Tamandua tetradactyla: one gene and its partners. The protein of the gene in region 1 interacts with the protein of each later gene in a biochemical or structural test. Links are inferred from orthologs where the notes say so. Each region holds a gene or a part of one and is shown on either strand. Other genes may lie near its edges.

Evidence for each region.
Region 2: the proteins of CLINT1 (region 1) and AP2B1 form a complex in vitro, tested with the Homo sapiens proteins (2 studies listed by BioGRID and IntAct, with this or other methods). The link is inferred for Tamandua tetradactyla from reciprocal best matches to the Homo sapiens genes CLINT1 and AP2B1.
Region 3: the proteins of CLINT1 (region 1) and AP1G1 form a complex in vitro, tested with the Homo sapiens proteins (2 studies listed by BioGRID). The link is inferred for Tamandua tetradactyla from reciprocal best matches to the Homo sapiens genes CLINT1 and AP1G1.

The regions. Positions count from the first base shown.
Region 1 is NC_135346.1:38,935,604-38,946,008, forward strand, and holds the start of CLINT1 (clathrin interactor 1), read right to left. Parts: upstream 4,644-10,405; 5' UTR 4,447-4,643; coding exon 4,406-4,446; intron 4,329-4,405; exon of another isoform or gene 4,020-4,328; intron 3,717-4,019; exon of another isoform or gene 3,643-3,716; intron 1-3,642. UniProt on the Homo sapiens protein: Binds to membranes enriched in phosphatidylinositol 4,5-bisphosphate (PtdIns(4,5)P2). May have a role in transport via clathrin-coated vesicles from the trans-Golgi network to endosomes. Stimulates clathrin assembly.
Region 2 is NC_135332.1:46,153,615-46,164,952, forward strand, and holds the start of AP2B1 (AP-2 complex subunit beta), read right to left. Parts: upstream 5,217-11,338; 5' UTR 5,121-5,216; intron 1-5,120. UniProt on the Homo sapiens protein: Component of the adaptor protein complex 2 (AP-2). Adaptor protein complexes function in protein transport via transport vesicles in different membrane traffic pathways.
Region 3 is NC_135342.1:66,900,319-66,910,940, reverse strand, and holds the start of AP1G1 (AP-1 complex subunit gamma-1), read right to left. Parts: upstream 5,033-10,622; 5' UTR 4,796-5,032; intron 4,790-4,795; exon of another isoform or gene 4,637-4,789; intron 4,623-4,636; exon of another isoform or gene 4,523-4,622; intron 1-4,522. UniProt on the Homo sapiens protein: Subunit of clathrin-associated adaptor protein complex 1 that plays a role in protein sorting in the late-Golgi/trans-Golgi network (TGN) and/or endosomes.

The DNA of each region.
Region 1 (10,405 bases):
AGCCCCCTGCAGCAGTGATACACAGACTAACTTAAAGTATAGAAAATTACCCCTAAGAAATGCTGATGGAAGAGAAATTAAACTCATCTTCCTTTGGAATTAAATACTTAATATACACTTGTGTCCAGTTACTAGAAGAGAGGAAGGATATTCAATTCATTGTTTCAGCAATAACAATACCTATAATTGGCTCAAAGAAAAGCTGATATAGGAAGACTGGAAAGCTGATTTAATCATCTTTGCTTTCAAGTTCTAAGAAGCAAATTGAACAGAGATTTCCTAGTAAGATAGGGAAAAGAAGGGGGGAAAACAAGAGGGCTAAAAGGAAGGCAAAACCAATGATAAATTCAAGCTGTGGCTTTATTATATACTTGCAGTGGCAAGTTTCTTGAAAGCTGCTTTTCAATACAGTAGTAATCTGATAAATAACGTACTATCTGTTGAAAGAGTTGAGTGAACTATTGTCTATAAAAGCAAATGGTTCTCCTCTGGGGTCAGCTAGAGAAGAACACTCTAGAGTTCTATTATATTATCTAAACATTTAGGAACTAAAAAAAACAAGCAAATAAACACCTACAAAAATCAACTTATGGGGAAAAATGCAAGTTATGCTTAAGAGAAAAACTTAACGTGGACCATTTATAGCAGCTGCCTTAGGACCTTGGCCAGAGCTGTCTGAATTACTATCACTTAAAAATAAGAGCCACTGATGTAACAGTTTAACCATTAATCTTACTCTCTGCAATGAAAGAGGAGGGTTAACTGAACTTGAACAGTTAGTAGCAGTTTTGGTCTACCATTATCACGTCACGTTCACTACATTTCCCACATTTAAAGGTAAGATTTAGTAGAACTCCAGAAACTTTAAATTTATACGGCTTTTCAAATGATAAAATAAAAATTATCCCATTTTATCACAGCCCCAAATGGAGTCAGGTTATAAAATGACAGGGGTCAAGCCAGTCCTAGTTGCTGGGAGTGCTGTCACTTATCCTTTCTCACCACAGATGCTTTTTATGCAACTTGTCTAAGAGTGGGAAGGAAACTGGCACTCCAAGCTCAGGATGGCCTAAGGCTTCAACTGCTTTTCTTCAGTTCCAGATTCTGCAAAACAGATCCATTTAATACCACCAGGAGGCACAATAACTGTGACAAATACCCTCTACACACACATTCCGGAAAAGGTCTCAAAAGCCCATGTTTGAAATATATCACCATACTGAAGAAATCCCACCATACTGTATCTAGCAGGAGCTCCAAGAAACATATTTTGGAAGAATACATTTTTCTTTCTGAGGTAAACTTCACTGGGGAGGGATATATAATAAAAATTCTGGTTCTCCTGGGTTATGGGTGCACTTATTACATAAAGTATTAAATATAATGTGTTGATTACGACATTAATAAATTTATTTATTTTTTTATGTCCCTTTTCAGCCTAAATTGTCTCTGGAAGGTAATAATTTTCTAAAATTTATCGCAACTGTGAAATACTAGTTCCAATTTCTCTTCCTTGGTAGAAATTCACTTCTCCAAATAGTCCTAGAATTTGGAAAGTCTTATTCTAGCCCAATCCTTTCATTTTACAAAAAAGAAATCATGGTCTGGAGACATGAGCTGCTGCCTCATATCATACATAGTGCCAATCAGAGGCAGTGGTAGAATCTGAACCTAATTCTCAAACTTCCTATTGTCCTTTCTGTCATATAAGTCCTTACTTCATTAATTTAAGCCTTCTGAATAGTCTTTCCTGATCTGTAAATTTCTTCCTCTTCTTATCCCTTGATAATCAGAGCACCCATTCTATGTATGGATCTGTTCCACCTCTGTAATGGCATTTTAAGGTGTACAGTTTAACTGAAAAAAATATATGGTTCTGCTTATATTTTTAGGAATAATTTCTTTTCTCCCTGCCACTGAAAGATGAAAACTAAATTCCAAGTATTCATCAGTAAAATAACCTCATGTTCTTAATCTCAATATCATGTGTCAGACATCCATAAAAGTTTTCAAAATTGCTTGTGGCAACATTCTTACACATTCTTGAATAATTTCGTTCAAGTCTTTATTTTAAATTGATTAACAAAAAGGAAGACTGAAGTTATTTTTTGACTAAACTACTTGATAACTACTTACATGGCAAACTGAACATGAAGCACTTGAAAATTAATAACATAAGGTGATAGAAACAAATACAGAATGAACAGCAGAAATATTTCTGACCCCGTAAAGTGTACAGTCTCTTCAAATTTTTGCATACCATAAATGGAGGCCTCTAAGAAACAAGGTATTTCTTAGTGGTTTTCTTCTGCTGTACACTGGCTTAGAAATGAAGAGGCTTCTTTTGAACTTTTAGAAAAAGCAAATTCAGAGACAGAAAGCAGAATAGTGGTGACCCGGGGAGGGGGGAGGGGGAATAGGGAGTTATTGCTTAATGGTTACAAGTTTCTGTCTGGGACGATGAAAATGTTCTAGAAACAGTGGTAAAGGTTACACAAAATTGTCAATGTACTTAAGTGTTACAGAATTGGCCACTTAAAAATGGTTAAAATGGCGGGGGGGGGGTGAGGGTTCAGTGGTGGAATCCTTGCCTGCCATGCAGGAGACCTGGGTTCAATTCCTGATCCATGCACTTCCCAAAAAACAAGCAAACAAACAAAAAATTTTCAACAAATGGTGCTGCAATAATGGGATACTCACATGGAAAAGGAATATGAGCCCGCCATACAGGATACAAAAAAAAAAAGGTTAAAATGATTTTGTCATACATATTTTACTAAATTAAAAATTCAAAAAACAAAACAAAACTATTTAAGAGGGTGTTCTCATTTCCGTACAATATATTTTTAAAGTACTCGGACCTGGAAAGGAAACACTGAAATAATGGTTGATTTTTGGGAAGAAAAAGGGTAAATAAATAGCAAAATAAGCCCAAAAGAAATGACGTCCTAGTGGTCAAGTGAATAGTTGAAAAGAAAAATGATTAAAGTAAATTGCTTCCCAAACATTCAAACACAGAGCCTCTCTCAAGGAAGTTTATCTAACTCTCAATGCCAGAGCTTCTGTCATAGTTATCAGAAGTATACTGATTTACATATATTGTGCTAAGGGCTTTCCATGCAATCTAAGTCTGAGACCTTATTTCTCACAACATTCTAAGGTACACATTTATCATTATTTTCATTTTGCAGCAACTGGAGGACAAGGTTAAGGTTACAGAGCTTGAACCCCAGCTCAGCAGGTTTCTGAAACCTGTGCTTCTTAGGCACTATACTGCCTTCTTGGTATCATACAAAATCTAGAAATACAGTCCAACAGTTCTATGCATTATCCAAGACACCGTGAATCATTTTGTTTTCTGACGTCAAGAAAAGCCAATAGTTTGCCATCTATACTTCCTGATTTTAAGATGGAGGGCTGGCACAAATGAACTGTTTTCTCACCACTCTTATTGCATAATCACTAACACCCGAAAGAAAGAGGATTGGTTTAATTCTTAAACTGTATTTCCTGCTAACCTAGAAGGTCTTACTTAACCACTGTTGCATATGATAACTTAAGTGTTAAGGTTTCCCTGTGCACTGAGATACTGAGTTATCCTTTGAGTCTTTAAGGAAATCACTTACATATTAGTCATTTTACCTGTGAGTGAAGTTAAAAGCACAGCAACAGATATAAACGTTGCTTTCTTCTTCAGGGGAAATTCTTAACGACTTCTTAATTGAAACAAATGGAATAAGTGGCCCACAAAAAGCATAGTGGAAAAGGAAATAGAGGAAAAGAATCACAAGTTACATGTTGATCTACTCTCACTACTGTTAGAAAAGCAAAGGATGAGACTCCCCTTGAGTAACTTCGGCCTGACGACAATGGCCACTTGTTACACCTATCACCCACTCCAACATTTCCAGGTTCATAAGAAATTAAAAGAAACCCAGGAGAGTAAAGGACATATCCCAACCAGGCCAAAAGTCTCCGTACCGCACCCTGAGAAACACAGAGAACCAGTGCGCACCTACTCCACTTCCAAGCCTTCCAGGAGCCCTGAAGTCAAAGCCCACAGCCTAGGGGCAAAAGAGCCCGAAGGCAGGACAGTGACCCAGCTATCGGCAACCCCACCCTCTTCCCTGGCCAAAGCGTCTGCGACCCGGAGGTGGGTGGCGGTAGGGGAAGGAAAAAAGAGCCAGGAAAGAAGTGGACTAAGGCGATGTTTTGAAACGAGGGAGGGTCTCTACCCAGTCTCGCCAGTGGGGACTAGGCTCGGGAGAGACCCGGCAGCCGCCATGATGGGGCTGGCTGAGCCGGGGGGCGTGACGCGGGTGGCCCCGCGCGCCAGGGCCGGCTCCCCTCCCTCTACTTCCCCTCCTGGGGTGGGCCTCGGCCACAACTGCCCCCCGATACTCACGCTTTGTCCACCAGCTCCCGCACCTTCCACATGTTCAACATCCTGCCCCACGCGAGCCAGGCAGCCGCTTCGCTCTCCTGCTGCCCAAGGACCCCGGAGCACTTCCGTGCCGGGACAATTCCAGGCTGGGGTCACAGCCGCCCGCCGCTTCGAACTCCCCCAGTCGGTCCCTTCCCTAGCCACGGCCGCAGCGCCGCCGGTGACACGTCGGGACGCGGCGGCAAAGGCGCTGCGTGGAGCGGAAGTGTCCGACTCGCCTCTCTCTGGGCGCAGGGTACGCCGGGACTTGTAGTTCTCTCCGCGCGTCGAGCGGAGGGCTAAATCGCGGCTCTAGCTAGTTGAAATTGGAGGAGAGCTGGTGTTCTAAGCATGGGATGGTTTCTTTCCACCAGGCAGTTAGAATCCTCGGGATGAAGAAAAAGGCACGCTTTGCCTACAATTCATCTTCAATTTATACATTCAATAAATATTTACTGAAAGAGTTTTCTGAGCTTGCACTGTTGCACGTAACTACGGACGCAGCAGCCAACAAAGCAGAGGAAAATCCTTGCCTTCCTGGAGCTTAGGTTCTAGACAAGAATACAGCACTAAACAAAGGCGAAAACGTGAGCTGCAGCTATATTTAGAAAGTGTTACGTGTCATAAGGAAAAATAAAACAAGAAAATAACTCCTTTCTTAAAAACTTGGAGCACCCATAACAGTACTGGAAATAGCTAACATAGAGGACTTTATACAATGTCCTCATTTGTGAAGACTGGCACTTTTCTAAACCCTTTACCGCAGATGATTTCATTTAATCTGCATGATTTACTTCATGCCACACACGGACCACTACCTAGATTATTTTGTTTAATCTCACTCTTCGAAAATAAAAAGAAGGGGAAACTTTAAAAGCTTGCACAAAGGGGTGGGCCACCGTGGCTCAGCAGGCAGAGTTCTCGCCTGCCATACCAGAGGAACTAGGTTCGATTCCCGGTGCCTGCCCATGTTAAAAAAAAAAAAAAAAAAAAAAGTTTGCACAAAGGCATATAGTTTGTTAAAAGATGGAGGTGGGAATCAAACACAAGTGGCAGAATGCAAGAAGCCTCAGCTTTCAACTCCTCTTCATGGCAGCCAACATGCTATGAGCTGGTGTCAGAGATGAGCTTTTCATAGATATTGTGTGTTATAAGTGGCACCTTTTACAGAATGCCATCCAACGTTGGAAGGCATCCCTTAAAGGCAATGATCTGCTCCTTGTGAAAATCATAGAGAGCAGTACTCTGCAAAACTGTATATGGATGATATACCAGTATAAACAAAATGGTTCACAAAACAACTGAGATTCCACATCACATTTCCTGGTAACAAATTTGCCTGGTCACAGGAGACAGAGGAGCAGGCTGAGGGCCAACAGCCCCGATGAAAGGCAAGCAACAGCAGATTTCTCAACTCCCCTAAAGGCTTTTGACCAAGGAAAAGGAAGAGCCACAGGTTGAGGAATGCTCTAGTCAGGTGAGAGCAGAGGAGGTACCTAGCTTCCAAGAATGGGAAACAACCTCCCCAAGCAGGTGAGTGGGTAGAGCACACTGAGATGGCAGGAAATTTGGATGCCAGTCCTAGTTCTATCTCTTATGAATCATGGGATGTTGGGCAAGTTATTTAGTCTCCTAATCACTAAATGTCCTTATTTGTGAAATGAGAATAATAATCCTTGCCATGGCACCGTACAGGTGTGCATTGTAGTGTGGGTCAAATGAGATAATGGATTGGATAGTGTAGGACAGCCATTCTCAAAGTGTGGACCCAGACCAGCAGCATCAACACCCCCCTGGAAACTTGTTAGAAATGCAAATTATGGGGTCCCTTTCCAGAATAAAAAATTCTAGGGGTGATGCCTAGCAGTCTTTGCTGCAATGAGCCTTGCAGATGGTTCTGAGGTGCACACAAGTGTAAGCTCTAACCACACTCAAACATGCTTTTCAAATCTACAGTATTATTATATTGTTAATAATGATCGTAAAGAAGTATGATTGGTATATTATTCTTCATTAACAGACACATCATTAACAGACACATCCAAATGTCCAAATATACTTAAATCTCTGGGCTTCAGTTTTCTCCCTTGTAAATTGAAGAGATTATATTCTAAAATCTCCTCCACTTTAATTCTGTGATACAGTGGGTTTTATATTTACATAGTGTGATGGTTAGTTTTAAGTGTCAACTTGGCTAGGCTATCTATAGTGTTTAGTTATTCAATCAAACACTAATGTAGGTTTAGTAATGTTGCTGTGAAGATATTTCGTGGATGTGGTTAACAACTACAATCAGTTGACTTTAAGTAAAGGAGAATATCCTCCATAATTTGTGTGGGCCTCATCCAATCAGTTAAAGGCTTTAAGAGCAAAACTGAAGTTTATACCTGAGGACTGCAGTTCAATTTCTTCCTGAGCTGAGTTTCTAGCATGTCAGACAACCCTGCAAACTTTGGGCTTGTCCGTCTTCACAACTGTATAATCCAATCTTTGAAATATGTGTGTTTTGTGTATGTGTATTAATATCCTATTGGTTCTGTTTCTTTGGTAGAATACTGACTGATACAGTAAGCTACCTTATATGTTTGTTAAATACTTTATTATAAAGCTCAGAAACTCAGTTCACACTCCGTAAGAACTATCTATAGAAAGACAACACTATAGATACATTTGGCACCACCAAGAACTTGGCAGTTTTCTATTCATAAAGCTTAAGTATACACATACTCCTTCCAGTATTCTGTTTCAGTGGTTGTCATCAATTTCATTTCTCACTTATTCATCTTTGTCATTGTTCATGTTAAAGCTGCAAGTGACTTTAATCCACTTGATCTAACTGCCTAAACTTTTAGAGTCATTTTCATTCTTAAGTATTTATTGACCACCTATATGCCTGGAGTGGAGGGTGCAGCTGGGAACAAAACAAACAAGGTCCATGCTCTCTTGGAGCTTAAAGGTAGTTGGAGAAAACAGATAATCAAGTAAACATTTAAGACTATCTGCATAAATGCAGATAGTAAGGGCCTGAAGAAAATAGAATTAAGATAATATGATAAAAATGATGTTAAAGTAGAATGTTAGGGAATATTTGGGGCTTTTTAGAGAACATGATATTTAAACTACAACTTGAATGATAATTTTTTAAATTAAAAAACAAGCTGACCATAAAAAGCTCTGCAAGAAAAAAGTCCTTGGCCAAGGAAAAAGAAGGATCTGATTCACAAAGAAGTGAAATTGCTCGCTCCTAGTCATGAAGCTGGAAAGTAATAAAACCAAATCAAGAACCCAGAACCTCTGACTCCTGGGTCTCCCAGGCAAAGTTACCTCTTCAGGTTGCATCCATTTAATTATGGAGGCAACTTTGAAAGGAGATTAAATCCCCAGAGAACAAATTGTAGGCATTACCAGACAGAAAAGAACAGAGTAGAAATCAGGACAAAGCTACCTCAGAGCTTTGTCAATATAGGAGTGCTCTGGTAGGTATAAAGCAAGTTGGAGAGGTGGGTGGGGCAGGTCAGGTAAAGACTAACAGAGATAGGTGAGGAATGGGGCTTTCAAATAAGTTTGGATTTCATGTTGAAAAGACTGACTAGCTCCATCAAAGTCTGGAATGTCGCCAGAAGAGATAAGAAAGAGAAACTACTTTGCATAAATGAGAGCTCAGTAAGTTAACTTTCAAACCAGCAAGTCCAGGGTACACCCTCAGAATGGGCCTTGCGCAAAAACAAACACCTCCTCCATCCTGGGGCTGGCACAAAAACACCGCCCCCATCCTGGGCCTTTTTGCATGTTCACAGCAATTTACAGTCACCCTGGCCAGTTACCCAGAGTACAATATAATTATCTACTTTCCTTGTTCCAACACCAACTTCATGTGCGTATAGATTTTTTCCAGAGTTGTTGTCTGTGGTGTTTTCACAGTCAACCTGAGCCATCTAGAATGTAAACCACACAAAAACATCCTGCCTGTCCACCATTAGTTCAAGAGAACCCTGAATACACCCAGGAGAACCAGGCACGGCAAGTTTGTTAAACAAAGTGGTCTCCAAAGATGAACCATTTGCATATCAACAAAGTGTTCCATTTTTACCTTTTATCTTGCAAGTTTGGGGAGCAGTTTCCATAGTTACTTCTTTGTGGCAATTTAAATATGTCCATGGTAGAAAAATAAGTGAGAAAACACCCCACTCCCACCACTCTCCAGGAAAACATTTTTCCCTAGATGCGTTGATACTTGGAATAAGGTCGAGCCAACACATGTTTTGAAAGAAAACATACTCAGCTGTGTTGTTTGTGAGACGTAGTTGTAGACAATGAACACTGAGCGCTTATCTCCTGTACCTGGTGTTTCCTTAGGGTGGGGGTTAATTGGTGGTCCATAGGCGGGGCAGCCATGAGGCGGTGCTGCCCAGCTCTCCTTTCTAGAGGTCTAGCTGTGAGGAGTGTGGTTGGCTGACAGCCACTAGTGGCTACTCTTCTAGGGTCTGCCACAGCATTTATGCCAAGGCCACACTCTTCCAGGGATACTGTCAGCCAATAACTGAGCAAAGTGTATTGGCTCCAGGCCATTTCTACCATTGCAAGACTCTTCTACTGGGCAGTCATTGCCTTGGGCTCCCCATTGGCCTGGCCCAGATTTCCTCAATTTTGCTGCAATGTGAGCCTCTTCCTAACCAGTCCTTCTTCCTTCCCTACCTCCCTCCCTCGACAGGGAACTTCATCGTGGTCTGCGGCTCTCCCTACCTACTCTTGCTCCCTCTCCTCTTTATACTTCATAGGTATTTCCCCCAATAAATCTCTTACATTGATTCCATCTTGGCTTTTGCAATATGCAAACCGACACAAAAGACAAGAGTTTGTACCTCAGTGTTTGAGGTACACTGTACCTCAGTGTCAGTATTGGGGCCCATGAGTCTTGTTTCTGATCCAGCCTGAATGCTCCTCTCTGGAAGTCACATTTATGACTAGAATTTGGGTTTTAGTCATATCAGTGGGGGCTGCCATGGATAGCCATGCAGATAATACATTGTATGACTCCAGGGGCCTCCTTATGTGGTCTACAGTGCACTGCCAGACAATTAACCACAGCGGGGAAGTATTGGGTAGTGGTGAAAGAGGGCAGACTCTGGAGTCAGAAAGACCTAGGGCCCAAATTTGGTGCTTCTTATTTAATAGCTTTGTCATTCTAGAGAAGTTAATTGAACCAATATAGCATAGAAGTTATGAATTGGGACCCTGGAGCCAGATTGCCTTGCTTTGAATAACTAGCTGCATTACTTTGGACCAATACTTGCCCTCGCTGTGTCTGCTTTTTCATCTGCAATGGAGGACAATAGAAACTTATAGGCTTTTTAAGAGGAATAAATGAAATGACATTTTAAAAGCACTTAGAACATTACCTAGCACAAAGTAACACTCAATAAGTGTTAGTGATACTACTACTACTACTGAATTTGTATTAATGAAAAGCATTTATTCACCATGCAACAAATATTTAGTAAGCTCCTACTGTGTTATAGGTGCTGTGCTATATATAGTTGTCAGTAAAACAGACATAGTGAACAAGTGAACATGGTAAACAGTAAAGCAAAGGGATGTGCTGAGGATCCAGTGAAATAGTGTGGGACTCACTTTACATTGGTCCTACATGTAGAAAATGCTAACTGAATTCTACCTCATTATTATTATTATCAAATCCATTAACTTGGATCTCTGCTTTTTTCCTTACTAGTTTCATGTGAACTAACCATGCATCAGAAATTCCTGGACATCTTTAATAAATGCTCTTTGAGTTCCTGCTTCAGTAGATGTATTATGTCCTACATTTTTTATTGCAACAAAAACTCATCTAAAGCCAGCTTAAACAAAATGAGGGAAGTTATTAACACAGGTGACAGGAGAGTTCATGACATGCGACTAGGGCGGGTGGATAATAGCTTCAGGGAATTAGCAAATATTGTGAGAACTCTCTCTCCAATTCTC
Region 2 (11,338 bases), on another chromosome or scaffold:
CAGCAAATAAATGGCAGAGCTAGGAAGAGAATGGAAGTTTGATTACTAGTTTTATGTTTTTCCACTGCTAGTTAAATATAAAGTTTAATTTCATTTTTCTCTTGCTCTTACCCTTGAGAGGACCCAGGTAAGACAAAAGAAGCAATGCAAAGCACAGGTAAATCACAACCTGGATAATCAACTTCTGAATGGGAAAACTGGCTGCACTTCATGTACAGGCATACCTGAGAGATATTGCAGATCCAGTTTTAGACACAGCAATAAAGCGAGTATTACAATAAAGTGAGTCACAATTTTTTTGTTTTCCCACTGCGTTTAAAGTTAAGCTTACACTACACTGTAATCTATTAAGTGTGCAACAGTATTATATGTAAAAAAAAAAACAATATACATACCTTAATTTAAAAATACTTTATTGATAAAAAATGCTAATCATCATCTGAGTTTTCGTGGAGTCATAATCTTTTTGCTGGTGGAGGGGCCTGTCTCAATGTTGATGGCTCCTGAATGATCAGGGTTATGGTTGCTGAAGGTTGATGTGGCTATGGCAATTTCTTAAAACAAGACAACAATAAAGTATGCCGTACCTTAGCTAGATCTTCTGGATTAACTTGCTGTAGCTTCTCCATCAGGACTTACAGCTTCACCTTGCACTTTCATGTTACACAGACAGCTTCTTTCCTTAAATCTCATGAACTAAACTCTGCTAGCTTCAACTTCTTCTTCTGACGCTTCCTCACCTCTCTCAGCCTTCACAGAATTGAAGAGAGTTAGGGCCTCGCTCGGGATAAGTCTTTGGCTTAAGGGAATGTTGTAGCTGCTTTGATCTTTTATCCAGACCACTAAAACTTTCTCCATATCAGCAATAAGGCTGTTTCACTTTCCTATCATTCACTTGTTCACTGGAGTAGCATTTTTAATTTTCTTCAAGAACTTTTCCTTTGCATTTACAATTTGGCTAACTGTTTGGCACAAGAGGCCTAGCTTTCAACCTATCTCAGCTTTCGACATGCCTTCCTCACTAAGCTTAATCACTTCTAGGTTTTGATTTAAAGTGAGTGATGTGCGACTCTTCCTTTTAATTGGACACTTAAAGGCCATGGTAAAATTGGCCTAATTTCAGTATTCTTAGGTCTCAGGGAATAGAGAGGCCTGAAGAGAGGGAGACACAGGACAACAGCCAGTCAGTGAAGCAGTCAGAACACATACAATTATCAATTAAGTTCAACATCTTATATGGGCATAGTTCGAGGCACCCCAAAACAATTATAATAGTAACAGCAAAGATCACACATCACCATAAAAGATAAAAATAATAATAAAAAAGTTTAAAATATTGTGAGAATTACCATAACATGACCAGAGACATGAAGAGAGCAAATGCTGTTGGAAAAATGGCACCAATAGATTGGCTGCCACAAACTTACATTTGTACAAAACACGGTATCTCAGAAGCGCAATAATGCAAAACACAATAAAACAAGGCATTTCTGCATTCTAAATGGCACCTCCTGGTGGTATATTATCACTGACATGGAAAAGTACCAGAATCACAAATTGCCCTTCTTCAGACCTTTTCAGCATGGTCTTGTCAGTGTCAAACAATAAGAAACACCATAGACTTCCTTCACTTACACTCCATAGCTAAAGAGAGAGCTATTCCACTCAATAACCAAGCTCCAGGAGGGGAAGAAAACTAACTTACAAAGTACCTATTATACAGGTGCTATGCTTGACTTTTATCTCGTGAAATAGATACGAGTTAGAAATGAGGAAACAGAGGCTCAGAGAGCTTAATTAAAATAATATTGCCTAAGATCATGAAATGGATGAGCAGAGCTAAGATCTGAATCAATGAATGTATGACTTTAAAGTTCATGTTCTTTTTACCAGAACATACTGCTGTCTCAGTGGGTTTCCTGCTTCCAGTTTCTTTATCCCATCAAATGTACCACGAATATTACTACATACATACTTAGCTTAAAACACCAAGGTGTGACCCTATGAAACTTATTCCTGCAAAGGAAGCTAAGCCTACTTATAATTATACCTAAGAGTCACCCCCAGAGAACCTCATTTGTTGCTCAGATGTGGCCTCTCTATCTAAGACAAATCTGCAGGTGAACTCACTTCCCGGAGTGAGGGACATGATTCCCAAGAGTGTAAATCTCCCTTGCAATGTGGGACACATCCCTGGCTCAACCCAGGGATGAGCCAGGACTCAACACGGGAATGAGAAAGCCTTCTTGACCAAACGGGGGAAGACAGAAATGAGAGAAACTAAAGTTTCAATGGCTGAGAGATTTCAAATAACGTTGAGAGGTTATCATGGAGGTTATTCTTATGCATTATATAGATATCCCTTTTTAGTTTATGGTGTATTGGAGTGGCTAGAGGGAAGTGCCTGAAACTGTTGAACTCTGTACCAGTACCCCGATTCTTGAAGACTGTATAACTATATAGCTTTTACAGTGTGATCATGTGTTTGTGAAAACCTTGTGTCTGATATTCCTTTTATCCAGGATATGGGCAGATGAATTAAAAAATAAGGAAAACCCAGAATGGCCATTATCAACAAAACAGAAAATGACAAGTGCTGGAGAGGATGTGGAGAAAGAGGCACACTTATCCACTGTTGGTGGGAATGTCAAATGGTGCAACCACTGTGGAAGGCAGTTTGGCGGTTCCTCAAAAAACTGAATATAGAATTGCTATACGACCCAGCAATACCATTGCTAGGTATCTACTCAAAGGACTTAAGGGCAAAGACACAAACGGACATTTGCACACCAATGTTTATAGCAGCATTATTTACAATTGCAAAGAGACGGAAACAGCCAAAATGTCCATCAACAGACGAGTGGCTAAACAAACTGTGGTATATACATATGATGGAATATTATGCAGCTTTAAGACAGAATAAACTTATGAAGCATGTAATAACATGGATGGACCTAGAGAACATTATGCTGAGTGAGTCTAGCCAAAAACTAAAGGACAAATACTGTATGGTCCCACTGATGTGAACCGACATTAGAGAATAAACTTGGAATATGTCATTGGTAACAGACCATCAGGAGATAGAAATAGGGTAAGATAATGGGTAATTAGAGCTGAAGGGATACAGACTGTGCAACAGGACTGGATACAAAAACCCAGAAATGGACAGCACAATACTACCTAATTGTAATGTAATTATGTTAAAACACTGAATGAAGCTGCATCTGAGGTATAGATTTTTGTTTGTTTGTTTATTTATTTTTATTTCTTTCTCTCTATTATCATTTTATTTCTTTTTCTGTTGTCTTTTTATTTCTTTTTCTAAATCGATGCAAATGTACTAAGAAATGATGAATATGCATCTATGTGATGATATTGGGAATTACTGATTGTATATGTAGAATGGAATGATTTCTAAATGTTGTGTTAGTTAATTTTTTAATTAATAAAAAAATAGATAATAGAAACTCAGGATGGACTTGTTGGAATTGATAAATAAATAATTGCCATTTGATAAAAAAATAAAAATAAAATAAAAAAATAAGGAAAACTGGGGGGGCCACAGTGGCTTAGCAGGCAAGAATGCTTGCTTGCCATGCAGGAGGACCCGGGTTTGATTCCCAGTGCCTGCACATGTGAAAAAAAAAAAATAAGGAAAACCAAATGGATAAATAGGGAGGAAAAAGGGCAAAAAAAATTGGGTAGACTGAAATACTAGTGGTCAATGAGAGGGAGAGGTCAGGGATATGCGATGTTTGTGTTTTTTGTTTTTATTTCTTTTTCTGGAGTGATGTAAATGTTCTAAAAATGATCATGGTGATGAATACACAACTGCATGATGATACTATAAGCCAATGACTGTATATTGTGGATGGACTGTACGTATGTGAAGATTTCTCAATAAAAAGTTTTAAAAAAAATACCTAGGTGTGATTATGTCATTACTCGGTAGCATTTAATGGCTCCCCATGATGCAAGAAATATATAATCCAAAATACTCTGCCCAGTGTTCAAGATGTTTCAAAATTGACACAAATTTATAGTTAACTAAATACCATAACTCGAACATGTGCCGACCAAACCACATTGACTATTCTTAAATCCTCAAACTTGCTCTCTTCTTCTAGAAAGCCCTTCCCCTCCATAGAAACCTTTCCTGTACTCGGATACTAATTCACCCTTTATAACTCTAAAATGCATGAAGCCTTTCACCATCAGTCCAGCAGGAAACATCTGTCCTTCCTTTGAATTATGAAAGCACTTTGCTGTACCTATGTCGTGATACCTATTTCACTTCGTAGAGTATTTTAAGATCCAGACATACTAACAGGGAATTAAGGTCCTTAAAAATATACCCCTACCTTTCAGCTTCTGGGCAAATCCACCACATGCTCCAACCACACAAATCGGGTATACTTTCCTAGTTTTTTGCCTTTGCACACTTTCTTCCCAACTGGAATGCCCTCCCCACTCATTTTAATCTGGAAACATATTATAGTTTTAAAAATTTATTCAAATATCACCTTGCTATGAAATAATCCCTAATTCCCTCAGTTACCCTTTTCTGACTACCACAGCACTTTTTTTCCCAGCATAAACCAACTATCCACGTGTCTTCCCGCCTTTCCCCCCAGCCCCATCAAAGTTCCCTAAAAAAAACAGGACCGTGTTTAACTGGTCCTTACAACCACTGTGCCCAGGACGGTGCCTGGCACATAGGAGAAAACTCAATAAACCTTGAGCGATCCTCCCTACTAAACCCTAAACTCACGGATTATAAAAGCATCAGCACAATTTATAAGGCCGAGTTACCTCAAACATTTCACGTTAGTAGGGACCATATTTCAAGCTTCTCCAGGCCCTTTCCCCAGCATCCAGCTTATGGCGTTCTGCCCAGCGCCCTCAAAGAAATAAATAATAATATAAATCATGTCCAAATCCCGCCAACTTCAAGTAAAGACTAAGAAGCCATCCTTTAGGGGAAACGCGATAAGGCTGGAGCCAGGACTCGAACCAAAGACCCACGCGGGAGTCTGCCGCGCGCTATCTCAATTTCTAAGCCCCAGATTCTCTCAGGCGGCCTGCCAGGACCTCCGGAGGCTAACAGTAGCCGAACTCACCAGCATTTCGTACCCGCGGACGCACGCCTCCCACGCTTCCACTCAGCTGGACGTTACTAGCCGGCCCGAACCCACAATCCAGAGCGGCCCTCATCGGACAACCAATCGCGCGGCGAACAGCGGGTCACGTGACTTAGGTCCTTGAAGCGGGGCCGGGAGGAGCAGCTAATCCGAGGCCGAGGCAAAAGCCCGGGGTGGAGTGGGCGCTTTTTGCGTCATTTCCTGGCGTCGGGGGATCTGTCTTGACTGCCAGATGGGTGGCTTTTTTTGCCCCGAGCAATTTTCCCACCCACCAACTCCCCCAACAATTCCAGTCCCTCCGATCTTGAGCTGTTAGTCTGAGAGGTTTTGCCGGTATCTTGGGAAGGGCATCTGAGGCGGGTTCGTTGTATTAGGATGTTCCAAGCGTTTGCGGGAAGAACTATTGATGCACAGTCATCCCACGGTATAGATTGCTCTTGAGCAGGATCCCGCTGAGAACTAGGAATTGGGGTGGGGGCACGGATTAAGATGGCCCTTTCTGCTCTGGGGAACTCCTTGGATGGTCCGGAGTGTGGGCCCTTCCTAAATAAGCGAAAGGTTGAGATTGATACCTTAAGAAAGGTGCAGATGAATATCAACGGGCGAAGGAGAGGAGGGAGGACTTCCTAGGACAAGTGGCATTTGATCTAGGTATGGAAGGTAGGGCTGAGGTTGAAAATGAGCTTCTGAGTGAAGAAATAGACTCCCAAATTAGATAAGAAAGAATGCGGGAGGCTTATCAGTTTTTAGATAAAGTTGATACAGTTGGTGCAATGCTTCTTAAAATTTGTTGAGGTAGGAACACCAGAAAGAGCCTGTTAACACTACAGATGTCTCATAGCTCTCCCAAGCGAGCAAACAAAACCAAAAATGCCTAATGACCAACTCGAATTTACTAAACCAAATATTTTAACGGGGCCTGGGCATGAATATTTTTAATAAGCAACCCACTGGTGATTCTGATTCACACCAAAGTTTGAGGACCATGGCAATGTTAAAGGAAGGAAATGGCAGGAGATTGGAAAGACAGGCCAAGGCTTTGTTAAGAAAGGTAGCTGGCTGGCTATGTAGTTCAGACCACTCTGAAGAAAGTGGGTGAATTAAAGATTTCTGAGTCCAAGGAGTTAGGTGATTAGAGCTGTACTTTAGAAAACTCAACCTGTAACTGTTTTTTAATGAATTGGAGGGAGAAAGAGAGTGAAAGGAGGTGAAGCTATTGCAGTGGTCTAGGTGATAGGTGATAGTTCTAAATTAGGACTGTAGTATTGGAAATGGAGAGATGGAAGATAGGAAAGGGAACCTGAGGATAGGGGTGGATAGGACATGAGGAAATAAAAAGAAAGGAGACAAAATGAAGTGTCTTCTGTACCAGATCCTCTAAGGACCTCCTTTGTACTTAAAAGATAGGCGAGTTTAGACATTAAAGAAAATGTGCCTTTGCACATGCTGTTTTCTCTACCTGCTTCATCCTTTTCCCCTGTCTTCCTTCCTCAACCTCAAACATTCTTACTTCAGGTTCCAGCTTACATAACATCTCATTTATGAAATCTTTTCTGATTTCACAAGCACGTTATTGTCACTCCTCAGAACACCCAGAGCCACTGTTTATAAATTGCTAGCTCTTCAGAGTGGTAATAGAGTTTAGTGGTAATTATTCGCATGGACTATAGGCAAGGACTTCTCTCTCTGTTCCTTAGTTTTCCGTTCCTTATAAAGGGGATAGTATTAACATCTACCTCATAGAGCTGTTATAAGACTTGATTGAGAATAAGGCTTAGTATACAGAGGGTTCAGTGATGTTGCTTTGTATATGTTGTACCGTGATGTGTCGTTTGCTGCATGTTTTCCCTCTCTAAGTTATGAACAGTACATGTTATTCTGGCTAGCAGTAAGGCTGTGTGGCAGAACGAGCTTTGTAATCAGGTAGATCATGGTTCAAATCCGATCTCTGCTACTACTCAGTGTGTAATTTTGAGCTTTACCTCCCTAAACTCAATTTCTTCATTCATAGAATGATGAAAATAATGCATGCTTTGTAAGTTGTTGTGAGGATATAAGATAATGAAAGTTCATCTTTGGCCCAAAGAAGGCAGTCAGTTATTTTGATTTGCAGCCCCAGAGCATAAGCACTATGTCTGGAACATAGTAAATATGTAATCACTGAGTAATGAAAGACAGGCTGACATTCTATGCCAGGCGCCATGCTAAGCTCTTTGTGTGCATAATCTTCCTTCATTATCACAAGAAGTCTTTGCAGGAGGCATAACTGTTTTTTCCATTTACACTGAAGGAATCTGAGGCTTAAATTAGTTTAACCGAAGTCTCAGCTAGAAAATGTGCTAGGATTTGAACACCATAAGTACTCAAAAAGTAGCTGATTGAATGGAAGAAGGAATGAAGGTTAAGTAACTTACCAAAGTCAAAAACTGGCATGGTGAGGCAGGGTTGTTGCTCTTGGTCACTGCTATCTGTACTGTTCAAATCATCTTTATGAAAATCAAGGATGAAATGGAGTCACCTGAGAGTCAAGATACCAATTTTTCCCCTTTGGCTGGTGTTTGGCAGTTCATATCTGGTGCACATGAGGATTGTGCTGTAACTGCCTCTATTAAAAAACTGAAATGCTTAATGAATGAATACATTTTAAATTAACTGGTGATTCTGGTTCTCAACCAATCACCAACGGCACGCCAAGATAACTTGTTTTTTTCCCAAGATAACTTTTGCAAGGCCTCAGAAATAAACAGTGTCCATGATACCAATTTCAAATTGTTTTGCATCAAGAACATTTGCTTTAGAAGTATTAGAGCCAAGACATGAGGTCCTTCCTGGCCTAGAGCGTAATGACTTACGTCCAGGTGACTTAACTAAAGCATATGAAGAATGAAGATCCCTTTTCTCAAGTTCCACATCTTGCCTTCCACTGAATTGATCCCCACAGCACACTGATGAAGAATAAGGAGGCAACAACCACCCAGTTTCTAGCACTCCTGTCCAAATGACTGTTTTTCCTGTTGACTGGGGAGAAAAAGGAGAGGTGCTTACATTTCTTTTCTTTTTTTTTAAATTTATTTATTTAAAAAATTTAAGAACAAACAAAAACATTAACATATAATTCCATTCTACATATATATTCAGTAATTCTCAATATCATCACATAGTTGCATATTCATCATTTCTTAGAACATTTGCATCAATTCAGAAAAAGAAATAAAAAGACAACAGAAAAAGAAATAAAACGATAACAGAAAAAAAAAGATTATACATACCATACCCCTTACCCCTCACTTTTGTTTGGTGCGTACATTTCTAATTTTGAAAGCTCTCAAGCAATTCAGAATCCCAAACTTGAAGAAGAAGGAGTAGGAGCATTTGAGTTACACAGGCCTAGCTTTCAATCCCAGATCCTACATTTACTAGCCATGTGTATTAGTGAGGGTTCTCAAGAGAAACAGAACCAACAGGAGAGATCCGTAAATATGAGATTTATAAAGATGTCTCTCTCATGCAACCATGAAAATGGAAGAGTCCAAAATCCATAAGGCAGGCTGTAAGGCTGGCGGCTCTGACGAAGGGTCTGGACGAAACCACAGGAGAGGCTCGCTGGCTGAAGAAGCCGTGAAAAAGTCTCTCTTCTTACTGAAAAGCATTCAGCTGATTGAATTATCTTCTTGTGGGAGACACACCTTAGGTGATTGCAGATGTAATCAGCCACAAATGCAGTCAACTCACTGATGACTTGATACACCAGTCTTCCAGTTTATCAACCATCCATGAAATATCCTTGAAACAACGGTCAGGCCAGTGCTTGCCTGGGTAGACAAATGGGCATAATCATTTAGCCATGCTGACACCAGAATGCTATGTAAACTCAGTCTCTATTAGTTGCCAGCATGGTCCCTTGCACCTAGTTAGCAGATGCCCAGTAAGTGATGGTCATGTTTTTATTGTGAATAATAGCACACCATGACAATTAGATATAGAACAGATTTCAAAGTTTGGTATGGGTTACAGTTCCACAATTTAAGGTTTTTTCCTTCTAGCTGCTCCAAGACACTGAACACTAAAAGAAATACCAATATAATGATTTGGTAATCTTACTCAATTGTTAAATCCTATCTTCTCTGTTATAACTCCATCTTCTTCTTTGATCTTATTCCCAATCTTAAGGGATATTTGGGCTATACTTTTTCTAACTTTTGTGTGTTGAAAAGGGCTGTCAAAAAATCCTAGAATGAGCTGGGACTCAGCATCAAGGGATCGAGAAAAACTTCTCAACTGAAAGGGGGAAGAGAGAAATGAGACAAAATAAAGTGTCAGTGGCTGAGAGATTTTAAATAGAGTCGAGAGATTATCCTGGAGGCTATTCTTACGCATTATATAGATAACCCCTTTTTAGTTTAAGGTGTAATAGGGAGACCGGAGGGAAGTGCCTGAAACTGTAGAGCTGTGTTCCAGTAGCCATGTTTCTTTAAGATGATTGTATAATGATATAGCTTTTGCAAAGTGACTGTATGTTTGTGAAAACCTTGTTCTGATGCTCCTTTTATCTACAGTATGTACAAACTGGTAAAAAATATATGGATTAAAAGTAAATAACAGGAGGAACAAATGTTAAAGTAAATTGAGTAGAGGGAAATACTAGTGCTCAATGAAAGGGAGGGGAAAGGAGTATGGTATGTATGAGTTTTTTCTTTTTTCTTTTTATTTCTTTTTCTGGAGTGATGTAAATGTTCTGAAAATGATTATGGTGATGAATATACAATTATGTGATGAAAAATATATATGTGAGAGTCTAATGCGTTTTAAAATCAATATTATACAAGATCATATTTTGATGATTAAAAAGAAGGAAGAGCAAAAGAAAAGGGCTGTCAATAATATGGGATTGGGAGGGGGAACTAGTTGATATTCTAGAGAGGCAGGTACCTCTGGATTTCAGGACTTATCTGGCCTTAGAAACCCATATGGACATTGTAGATTTCTGGAAAGTAATGATGGTCATTTTTATCCTTCTGAAAGTAAATAAAATATCAGAGGGATTACAGTGTGAAAGTGGGGCTGAAAATTAAGGTAGATGGTAGAACTAAAAGTGAGACTGAAGTCAGGAGTGGAGCGAATGAAGAGGGATTAATATTGGAGCTGACAGCAGACCTTTGGAGTTTATTATGTTTCTGTGATATATCAGCGTATCCATTCTGCCTCCTATCCTGAAAACTCTTTTGAGTGTTAAACATGTACAAAGAGTAATGCCAGCAAAGCAGAACTTTTGCAGGAAGAGAAGTCGAAGTGAACAAAAAACTTGGAATGTCCAGAAACGTATTTGTAGTAGGTTAAATATGTATCCCAGGGTGGGGGGGAACATATCTTAATCTAAATTTAGTCCCATTGGTATGAACACATTGTAAATAAGACCTTTGGAAGATGTTGTTTTTAGTGAAGTTGTGGCCCAACTGAATGAGGTTGGGCCCTAGTCCTATTACTGGAGGATTTATGAAGTGAAAACCACCTGGAAGACCAGAAACTGGAAGTCAGTGGAACTTGGAAGAGAAAAGAGAGGGCTCATCATGTAATGGGTAAGCCAAGGAACCCCAAGAATTGCCAGCATGCCAGATAGCCTTCTAGCCTCCCAAGCCATGAGATAATAAATGCCTATTGTTTAAGCCAACCCACGTGTGGTATTTGTCATACCAGTCAGGAAACTAAGACACTATTTAAGAATGTCATTTCATCATAAACAAATCAAAGTAGAGACACAGCATTGTTTGTTGGCTTGGTTTAGAGGGAGAGATGTACGTTAGTTTCCTGTGGCTGCTGTAACAAATTGCCACCAACTTCATTTTATACACATTTTAAGTCAGGCTGTCCTGTACTTATTCACTGTGAGCAGCATTAACTTATTTTATTATGTTAGTTTCCTGTGGCTGCTGTAACAAATTGCAACCAACTTCATTTTATACACATTTTAAGTCAGGCTGTCCTGTACTTATTCACCACCAAGTTGGTGGTCTAAAACAACAGAAATCTATTCCCCCACAGCTCTGGAGGTCAGAAGCTCAACAGCAGTTTCTCTGGGTTGAAATCAAGGAGTTGGCAGGGCTGTAATCCCTCTGAAAGCTCTAGGGAAGAATCCATTCCTTGCCTCTTTTAGCTTCTGGTGGTTATTGGTATGCCTTTTGTTGTGGCCATATCACTCC
Region 3 (10,622 bases), on another chromosome or scaffold:
TTCTTGAATAATCAACACAATTTATTAAGCTTTCATCGTGGAACGTTTGTAAAGAAAATAAACAGTCCATGCCCTCAATAATATGAGACAAATTAAATACACATTTCAAAAATAAAATATATTGTGCACAATCATAAAAAGAGGCTTTCATCTTACAATAAAAGTTTTTTAATAATTTTTTAATAAGAGATATCATGGGCTTACAGAACAATCCAGCATAAAATACAGGATTCCCAAATACCACCCTATTATTGATACCCTGCACTGGTATGGTACATTCTTATGATAAGGTTTTTTCCCCCTTCAATAGTCATACCAAAAAACCAATATCTACAAAGATTCAACTCTACACTGTATGCCTAAATATTTTGTTCGTTTTCCCAACCAGCCATCTCAACCAACTATTTTCACAATACTTTTAAAAGTATAATGCTTTCAAAATTTTAAAAAGTGGAAAGTGAACCAAATCTTTGTGCAGACTTAAAAAATATATATTTAAAAAAATTTACATAAATTTTTAAATTATAAAAAGAATTAACTTTCCTTCCTTTTTCTCAACTTGAAACTGAACAATTTCCCAATCGTGAGGTTCAGTAAATAGCTCACAAAATTGAGCTGCAGAAACATAAAAGGAGCTCCTTTTATTTTGAGTTGTACAACTGCCAAATCATTTAGAAAGTTTAGTTCTTTTACCAAATACTCTATGACTGGTCTTAATTTTAATTCAAAGGCTTGTGAGAATGGGGGTGAAAAAAGTTAATCACGTACCAAAGTCTAAATTCAATGTCTTTCTCATATTTACTATTCTGAAAAATCCATAAAATTAACCTCAAAGCCTAAGAAGTTGAAAAGCCTGAGTTGCTCAGTACAATACAAATACAACCAGATATAACAAGCTGAAGTTAGTAAAGAAACTGCCTATCAGGTTACAATAAGACTGCTGTAACAATGAAGAAGGAGGAGTAAAAAACTACTTGCCTTTAAAATGCCTTTCTTCAAAGTACAAAGGTCACATATTTTTCCCAACTTTAAAAAAACAAAGACTTTTCTCCTTCTAAGTTTATTTCATTTTCATTCATATCATAAATGAAATAAACTTAGAAGAAAATATACTAGTTTGAGATGGCTGGTTGGGAAAACTAACAAAATATTTAGGCATACTGTGTAGAGTTCATTGAATCTATGTAGATATTAGTTTTTTGGTGTAACAACATATATAGCTTATTAATTTTACCTCTCTAAAGTTCTGAGTATGCTAAAAAAAAAAAAAAAGCAAAACTTCCAAGTACTTGGTGAAAAAAAAGCATTTATTTCAATCATATTATCCTACATCTTGACCTTTTATGCTAAGCTCTGAACTACACCCAACTCAACAAGCTTGGCAATTTTTTTTTTCTACTTCTTGACCCTTCAAATTTGACAGGAGATTGTTCTTCCAATAACCAAACTCATGCCAATTAAGTATTTCGTGTAACTCCTTCAGGGAAGAAAAACACCTTACATGTAATTTCAAAGTAGAAATTACACCTCTTTTCCCCTTTTTCTTTCCTGCCTTCACTGAAATAAAATTTCCTACGCCCCCCCAAAAAAGGCAGCTGGAAAAATCTTAATACAAGCATTTTGACAAAGATATGATTCTTAAAACCTGTAAGCCAAGAAATATAAGAGGTTATACAAATCTATATGCTCTCAGTTTTAAAATTGCTTTCTCCTTTAAATACCAGTCTTCATTAAAGAAACCGAGTAAAAGCAACTAAGAAATGAAAAAAAAAAATCATGAACTCAATTCATAAAGCAAAGAAAGGTTAAATTATAAACAACTAAAACAGCCAAACAAGCTGTTGCAGTTTGATGAAAGATAATCATTTTAGATTTTTGGAAGCTAAATGCAACTAAGTCTTAGAGCTTTGATATCAATTAAATTCTGCTGTACACAGAAATTTTTAAATCCTCATAAAATGTAAATAAGGGGATTAAGCATTGCAAAAATCTGTTTTGGTATGTGGTTTCCCAATTCAACTTTTTAAATTAAAAATAAGCTTAGTTGTTTTGGAAAACACTGGTTCGACTTTTTAATTCTGTGCAAGTTAAAGAGTTTATAAAACACAAGAAACTTTTTTTGGCACACCAATGAGTTAAGACTTCTTTTTAAAGTAAAGTAAATACTGGGATGAAATAACACCAAACCATCAAGGATGGATCAGAGGCAGAATTCTCACCTGCCATGCCAGAGACCCAGGTTTGATTCCCAGACCCTGCTCATGTGAAAAAAAAAAAAAAAGAAAGAAAATCACCAAACCATTGCTGGCAAATTTCTGTACTTGACCGCTTTACTCAAAGTTCACTCCCAAACCTAGAACTACTTGTCAGTGAAATACCAAAGAACAGGCAACCACTTTCAAAAGAAAAATGAACTGAGGTCTCCTAAACACTAATGTTAGTTTCAAATACAATCCCAGCAACCTGACAAAAGTAGACATTCAAGCATATTCTGATCAGTGAGGCACTAAACAGCACTTTGCTTATAATTTGGAAAGCAAAAGGACACTTTTTCGAACTGAATGCAAACCTAAAAATGAATGACATTTAAATATCAGATTATACCATGAAATGAAATGAATGAAATAACATCTATCTGATAGCTCTTCCAATACTTTGTTTTAAAAGTGTAACTCAGAAATAGAACATTTCAGTGGTATCTACAAGGAGATACTTTGTGAATGAATGAGCATTTCCTAAGTGTTAAGTGCTGTCAGCTCCTTTAAAACAGAAAAAAAAAAAAAGGCATAGCTTCCAAGTAAATACAGACTCACAAAACTCACTAATATCTAATGTAACTATTATAATTTTTTAAATTCTCCTTAAAACAAGTTGACAAGGATGGGTCACGGTGGCTCAGCAGGCAGAGTTCTCGCCTGCCATGCCAGAGACCCGGGTTTGATTCTTGGTGCCTGCCCATGTTAAAAAAAAAAAAGTTGACAAAAACATTGAGCATTTACCCTAAAAACAATGCCTTGTACTGTACCGAAGCATCAGATGACTTGTACAGGAATTTATTTTCAGTCTCATTTCAATCACTTGGTAAGAAAAATGCATTTATATATGGATGAGAAGTATTAAAAATTTTTGACTCAGTTCAAGTAAGAAATTTAGATTTCAGTAGTCACTAGACTGCTGTGCTCTCGAATAAATTATTTCTCTTTTGCAAATCTAAAAACCCAGGCTCAGATGTGAATTGCCCGTGATGCACTCACACTCACCTAATCGGTGAATTACTGTGAAATGTTTTTTATCCAAACATGCTATATACAAGCATACTTTAGGAGTGGTATAAAAGGAATGAGATTATGATACCTAGAGGTCCATATTTTTTCAAACCAAAAGTCAAGATGCATATAGTCTGACAAGTATTATGGAGAAGTGAATATTTTAAATCCAACTACCCCCAGAAAACCCAATACACGAAGTCGACACAGTATTTTTAAACTGACTAAATTCTCTTATGTAAAGGGGAGGGGAAGAAATCACTGAACCACTTCAGGCAGCCAGCAAAGGTCATTACCATACAAAACACCTGAAAGTTTACAACACTAAAAAAATCTTTGCTCTCTTCTGTTAAATATCCCTTTATCATACAAAAATGAAATGAAATAAAATAACTCTGCTTTCTACCTAAATCAGATTAATATTCTTCATAAGATTTCCATGCCATGGACATATAACACCAAGAAAAATATACAAGTGTCATTAAAAACCCAAAACCTAAGTGCTAAGCACTGCAAGGTAATTCACAAAATGAGACAACATTTGACAGCCTTCTCGCACCCACCCCCAAAAAAGCATTTAATCTGCTTTATAAACATTTACTATTGAAATACATACTGGGCGGGTGGTTTGACGGATCTCCTACACACCAAACCCTAATAGGGAAATGTAATCAACCCTCCTAACTCTTTCAGGCAGTCAAGGCGGTGAGATCGGGAAAATTATCAGAAACTGACGTCAGTAGGATAAAGTGTTTGAGAGAAGGGTAACCGGTATATTCGCAGGTGAGTTAAGAAAACAACAACCAAAAAAAAAAAAAAAAACAAAAACGGGCAATTGGGAAAGAAGTTGGCTGGAAGGTTAGAGGGAGGAGAGGTAGATGTCCGGTTCTGTGAGAACGGCATTGCAGAGGCAGACAGCGTTTGACTGAGCATTTGGAAATGCTAACGAGTTTCTGTGAGAGACAAGATCGGGGTACAAGATACAAGTACGTCGATACGTGGCTCAGAGAAGACACGCGGAGGTGGGCCCGCCCCGCTAACCCTAGGCTCCCTGAATGAGCCCTCAAAGGAAGATCGCAGCCTGAGAAAGTCAATGGGTTCAAGGAGGCCCGCACCCGCCCAGCAACGCCACAGCACGGAAAGCCGCCGCGCGCTGAGCCTCCAGGTCCAAGACCTCAGGGGCGGCCCTCAAGAAGTCGGAGCAACCCCTGGGGCGCCGGGCCCCTCCTGGTTCAGCTTCTGTCCTGTCTTCTCACCCCTACTGCCTGAGACCGGACCTCTAGTGTTGACAGGATGTCTCCGGCCGAGCACTTGCGGCAGCCGCTGGGCAAAAGCAGCAGTATACTCTCGGCGCCGCAAGTGACACTCACCGGCCCGAAACCTCGAATGAAACCAGCAGCTTCGGGGGCGGCGGCAGCAGTAGCAGCAGGAACCGAACATCCAAAATGGCGGCTCCCTCGGCCTCACCACCGCTACTGCAGGCGGAGGGATCCTAACGAGGGAGGGAGTTTTTAACTAACTTTACGCACTGTGGCAGAAACTCCGCGTCCCCGTCCTCTCTCTTTGTCGATTCTGCGTCCCCACTGCAACTTCTCGCGCTTCCCCTCTCCTATTATTCAAGAGCCCGGACCCCGCCGAGGACTATTTGCCACGGAGGAGGCGACTGCCCCTGGCCAAGCGACGCAAAGCGTAGCAAGGTTCAGGGCTGTCACTGATGACGCGAGACGTTGCTGCCGAGTCACCTCTGCGGTGAGTCTGAGTGAGAAAGATCCGACAAACCCCGGCGCCGATGGACTTTGGTTCCGCAAGGCGGGTGAGAGACCTGGGCTATCAGGAAGAGGCGGGGGTCACCTGAAGGGGCGGGACTAGCAAGGTAGAGGAGGAAGTGGGAGAGGCCAGGCAGCTGGGGGCAGAGTACGCTGATCCGCTTAAACCGCAGAATCCTCTTTCCGAGTACCTGTGAGACCTTAGCCTTCTCTTAGTTCAACTTCAGAAACATGCTCCAACTGATCCTGAATTCTGCGGTTTATAGTATCTTTGTAACATATTGCATGAAAGGGAGGATGACTCAGAAGAATGGGTTCCAAGCAGTACCTCCTGCGCTGGACAATTTATTTAAACTCGGAACCTCCGATTCCTCACATATAAAAAAAGAGAGGGCTTGAACTACCGTAAACTTCCAGTGTGGACTTTCTGTTTGTGACTTCATAAACGATTGAGTTGAGCCAAAGAAAGTTTGACCAGCCAGTTCCTAGCCTGATAAATAATTACTAACCCTTTACAAGATTATTTTCCATGTGAACGTTAAGAGCACGATGATATCTTGGTCCATTTAAAGGAAAGATTAACTACCCAGACTAAAACCTTCAGGAAAATTAGTGATAAAATACCGCTAAAAGGAAATAAAGCACAGCACCAAACTAGATGCCTAAATGAACAGATTTAAACACAAATCTTAAGTTTAAAACCTGAATGATACAGCTAAGACCTTTCTCTTTTTTTGCCTTAGGCAGTTATTTCCATGTAAGAATTTCAAAACTAAAAAAAAAAAAAATGAGCTGGGTAGTCCCACTGTGCAGCTCTGTCCTCAAGCTACTGGAGCATGCTAAGTGACCGGACAGAAAGGAAGCTAAGAGCATAATACTAGTAATTTTTATTATTATTAAGTATGGCTATCACCCTTTACAAAGCACCTCTGTATATATCATCTAATCCTCCCAACAACCTCCTGAGTTAGACTGGGCAAACTTGAATAACTCAGTTTTACAAATAAAGAGACTGAGGTTCAGGGAAACTTGGAATTGCGGAAGGAACTTCCGGCCTCAACCTTCTCCTTTCTGCCCTCTGCCACTGGAGTTCTGCTATCCTCTGGTGCCATTGTGCAAATTAGGAACTGGTAATACCCCAACATCCCCAAACACACACACATGCAAACACACACACACTGGGTGAACTGAGACCATAGCAAATGGTTTGGGGATTGGAATGCTTATGGAATTTAGCCCCATCCTATCCTCTCCCTTGCACTACTCTACACAGCAGCCTTGGATTGCATAAACTAGTACATAGTAGTGTGAAACTACAACACTGTAATGATGACGTATCTCTTGATTCTTCTGAGGGATAACTGTGGCCCAAACAGGTACCAAGGTACACTTTGGAGTTTCCATAAAAGTAACAATTTTGCAGGTTGCAAAGCAGAGGTAGCTAAAGAGTTAGCTTTCAGTTTGTGGAAAGTCACAAATGTTTACTTAGAGTTGGGAATTTAAATGTTTACTAATATTTTGTAGTAAGTGTTTGCTAACCACAAAAGAAAAGTTAAGAACACCTTCTTAAAGGAGAAAAGTATCTTTTTCTGCTTATTGGCAGAATACTAAAGAGAAAATTATAAAATGTAAAACCTACATGTAGTTTTTACTTATATTTATTTTTATTTATAATTACCAAACACCTCTCCCATGCAACTAAAAATTTAAAACAATTGACCCGGTATAAAGTGTGGTAATCGTTAGCCTGTGATTTTTAGTTTCCCTGGGCAATGATTAAAGCCTGGAAATGCTTACTCCTCAGCTTCTCCAACATAATCCCTAATCCAAAATAAATAAATTACAGTACACTAAAATCCATACAATGGAATACTATGTACAATAAAATCCATCAATAGACTACTAGGTTGCCAATGAAAATAAAGCTATAGTATCTTTATTATCATGATATGCCAGATTTTTAAAAACAATATTTCAAAACAGTATGATAGGGGTTGCACTACTGTGTGAACTGGAGATGGGGGTGGCCCGGGCATGAAGTGGAAAGAATTGAAAAGAATTCAGCTCAACAAACAGATTTGATCTCAAATGCAACATGGTGGGAGTTCAAAGATCCTAGAGGGGCTAACAGAGTAGACCAGATGATGAACCTGGAGAAGATGGGACACAAAGGATTCCTGCTGGAATTTTGGCTCTTTCCTCCTCTCCAGATGGTACCTTCAGGTGCATCCTTATTGGAAGCAGCTGTGACCAGCAAGGGCTTAGTGGTATGGGATACATTGTTAGTAGGTCAATCAATAAATCTGGAAAATGGCCAGTTCCACCATGATGACTGAGTTTCTTTCTCCTCATGGGTTTTGCTGTAGGGTGGAAGCTAAGGTTTCAACATTCCATTGTTATTCCTACTAATATGTACTTGGCTTCCTTGGTAAGGAGTCTTCTCATCATTAGTGCCACCACACTCGACCAGAATCTTCAAACACCCATGTACTTTTTCCTCAGGAGTCTGTCCATCTTAGATATGTGCTTCATTTCTGTAATTGTCCCCAGTGCCTGTGTCAACTCTCTCACTGACAACAGGGTCATTTTAGTGGCTGGGGGTACAACTCAGATCTTCCTAGTCCTTTACTGTGCCTGCGTGGAAATATTATTATTCACCATCATGGCCCAGGATTACCCTGTGACTGCTTTTCTCTGTGGTCTGGTCTATGCAGATGTGCACAGTGGTAACACTTTCCAGTTGTCCTTCTGTCAGTCCATTGTTATGCACCAATTTCTCTGTGACATCCCTTCTCTACTGAGGCTTTCTTGCCCTGACACCTTCAACAATGAATTCTTAATTGTGTCTGCCATGAGGTTTGGTGTTGGCTGCTTTATCTTCATTGTCATATCTTATACTCACCTATTTTCTACTGTGCTCAAGTTTCCAACCAATGGAGAGTGAGGAAAGACCTTTTCCACCTGTGTCCCTCACATCATTGTTGTATTTGTCTTCTTTAGCTCAACCTTATATGTGTATTTAATGCCATCTTCAGTGTCAGACATGTTTCTGGATATGATTTTCTCTGTTTTCGATTCCATAATTCCTCCATTTTTAAATCCCATTTTCAACAGTCTTAGAAACAAACAGACCAAGGGAGCACTGAAAAAAAATAATGCAAACTTTTCTGCAGGAAAAATATTAGATGAATTTCAAGTTTTTCTAAATGCTTTCATATCAAGTTGATATATACACACACACACATTTTGATATTCATTTAGCTACAAATGCTATTACTGGATTGATAAAAATTACTGCTGTACTTTTACGTGCTTATTTGCCTTTTGATCACATTAGTTGATTTAGAATGATATGTAGGAAAGGGATAGAAGTGTATATATAATATAAAACCAGGAATTCTTAGGATTTTCATTGAGACTGCCTCTTCAAAACTTCCCTCATTGTGAGTCTAGGGACTCACACATATCTATAGTGATTATTTCTGCCTAAACATTGCTCTTTCGCTTAAAATCTTCAAAATCAGTGAGGACATATCAAATTCGTACTTTATAATGAGTTGATAAAGTCAAGGGTATTGTATCACATGTTAAATACTAATAAATGGATACTAAATTTGTCACTATAGATTATTATATATAATCAACATTTATCAATATTAAAAATTATATTCAAGAAAATATTGATAAATAATAAAGAGATCATTTGCTAGTTATGTTATTGATCCCAATGCAGATAAAATTTAAATAATTATTTAATCAATAAATTCATTTTAACTTCTTACAAATTGAGATCCTTATATGTGGAGTAAAACTATAGAATGAAATAAGTGATAATACAATCTTTCTACAATTTGAGAAATTAAAAGTTGGTTTCTAAGTTAAAAATTGCATAAATTGTGTTTTCGATTTCTTTCATAAACTGCAGAAAACATCACTTGATTCCAGAATCAGGAAGCATGTGCCCTCTTGAGATTTACCCATATTATTGCATAGATCAATAGCTGAACATATTTTCATTATATGGATGTACTAAGGTTTGTTTGTACCTTCATCTGCTGATAAACACAGAGCTCTTTCTGGTTTTGGCTTAATATTTAAATTGTTATAAATATTCAAATGCAGGCTTTGTCTGAACATATGCTTTTATTTTTCTTGATAAAATACCTAAGTGTGGGACTGCTGGAGCACAACGTGAACGTATATTGAACTTTATAGGACGTTGTCAAATTGTTTTCCAAACTGACAGTACAATTGTGTATCTTCAGGAATAAATCGGGCCTCCAATTGTCTGTCACTGGTCAATGCTTTCTATCATTGATTTTTTAAAAATATATCCCTTCTAGTAGGGTATGTAATGATTTGTATTATTGGTTTTAATATACATTTCCCTAGTGGTTATTGATGTTGAACACTGTTTTGTGAACTTGTTTTTCATCAGTATCTCTTTCTTTGTTAAGTTTCCTTGTTAAATCTTTGCATATCACAAGGTCATAAGATTTCTGTTTTCTTCTACAGGATCTATACTTTTAAATTTAACATTTAGGCCTATAGTCCCTTTTTAGTTAGGTTTGTGTGTAGTGCAATGTAGTGATTGCATTAGTTTTAATAAGTGTATCCAACTGTTCTGGCACCATTTATTGAAAATAATATTCACTTCAAAAAAAAAAGTATGATAAAATGAGCTTGAAAATATTGCATCTATGAACAGAAAAATTTGAAGGGCAAAATAAAATGTAGAGATGGTTATCTATGGGTGGTGAAATTATAAATGTTTTCACTTTTTTTCCTGCAATAAGCATACTATGCTTTTACAGTGGGGAAAAAAACAAAATTTTACATTTTGAGAAGTCCTTATAAGATAATGCAGTGTTATGGATCCAAATGCCAAAGGGGATTTTTGTTTTTAAAACAACAATAGGCCGTGAAGATGAAAAAGCCCTCCCACAGCCTTGGGCAACTCCACCCTGGTCTTCCACGGAGCTGTTGGTAGCAAACCTCAGGCAGCATCTCCTTTGAGCTGTTTGCAAACAAAGTTCCAAAGACAGCAGGGAATTTTTGTGCTTTGAGCACTGGGGAGAAAAGTTTTGGTTAGAAGGATTACTGCTTTCAGAGAATTATTTTTGGATCTATGTGTCAGGGATGGTGAATTCACAAACCATAATGGCACTGGTGGCAAGTCCATCTACAGGGAGAAATTTGATAATGAGAACTTCATCCTGAAGCATACAGGTCCTGGTATCATGTCCATGGCCAAGGCTGGACCCAACACAAATGTGTGAAAGTATTTTGAAAAGTAAAAAGTATGAAGAGAACACAAGTATTCTCTTTCCTGGATTTAGGGATGCAATGGGGTTCTTAATTACATCATTTCTAGCTGCTGAAGCCCTATGGCCTTTATAGCAGAAAGTGAAAGCTCTCTGCCAAAATGCAGTCAGTTCTTTTCGCGAGCAAGTCTTCTGCTCTCCATCTGACACAGAACTCAGCTGAGAAAGGTGACTGAGGAGGGAGCATAAGCATACTGGAAACCCAGTGATGTGAGTCAAAGAGGTGCCTCCAGTGGCCTATTATCATTTGAGTCACCCAAATCTAT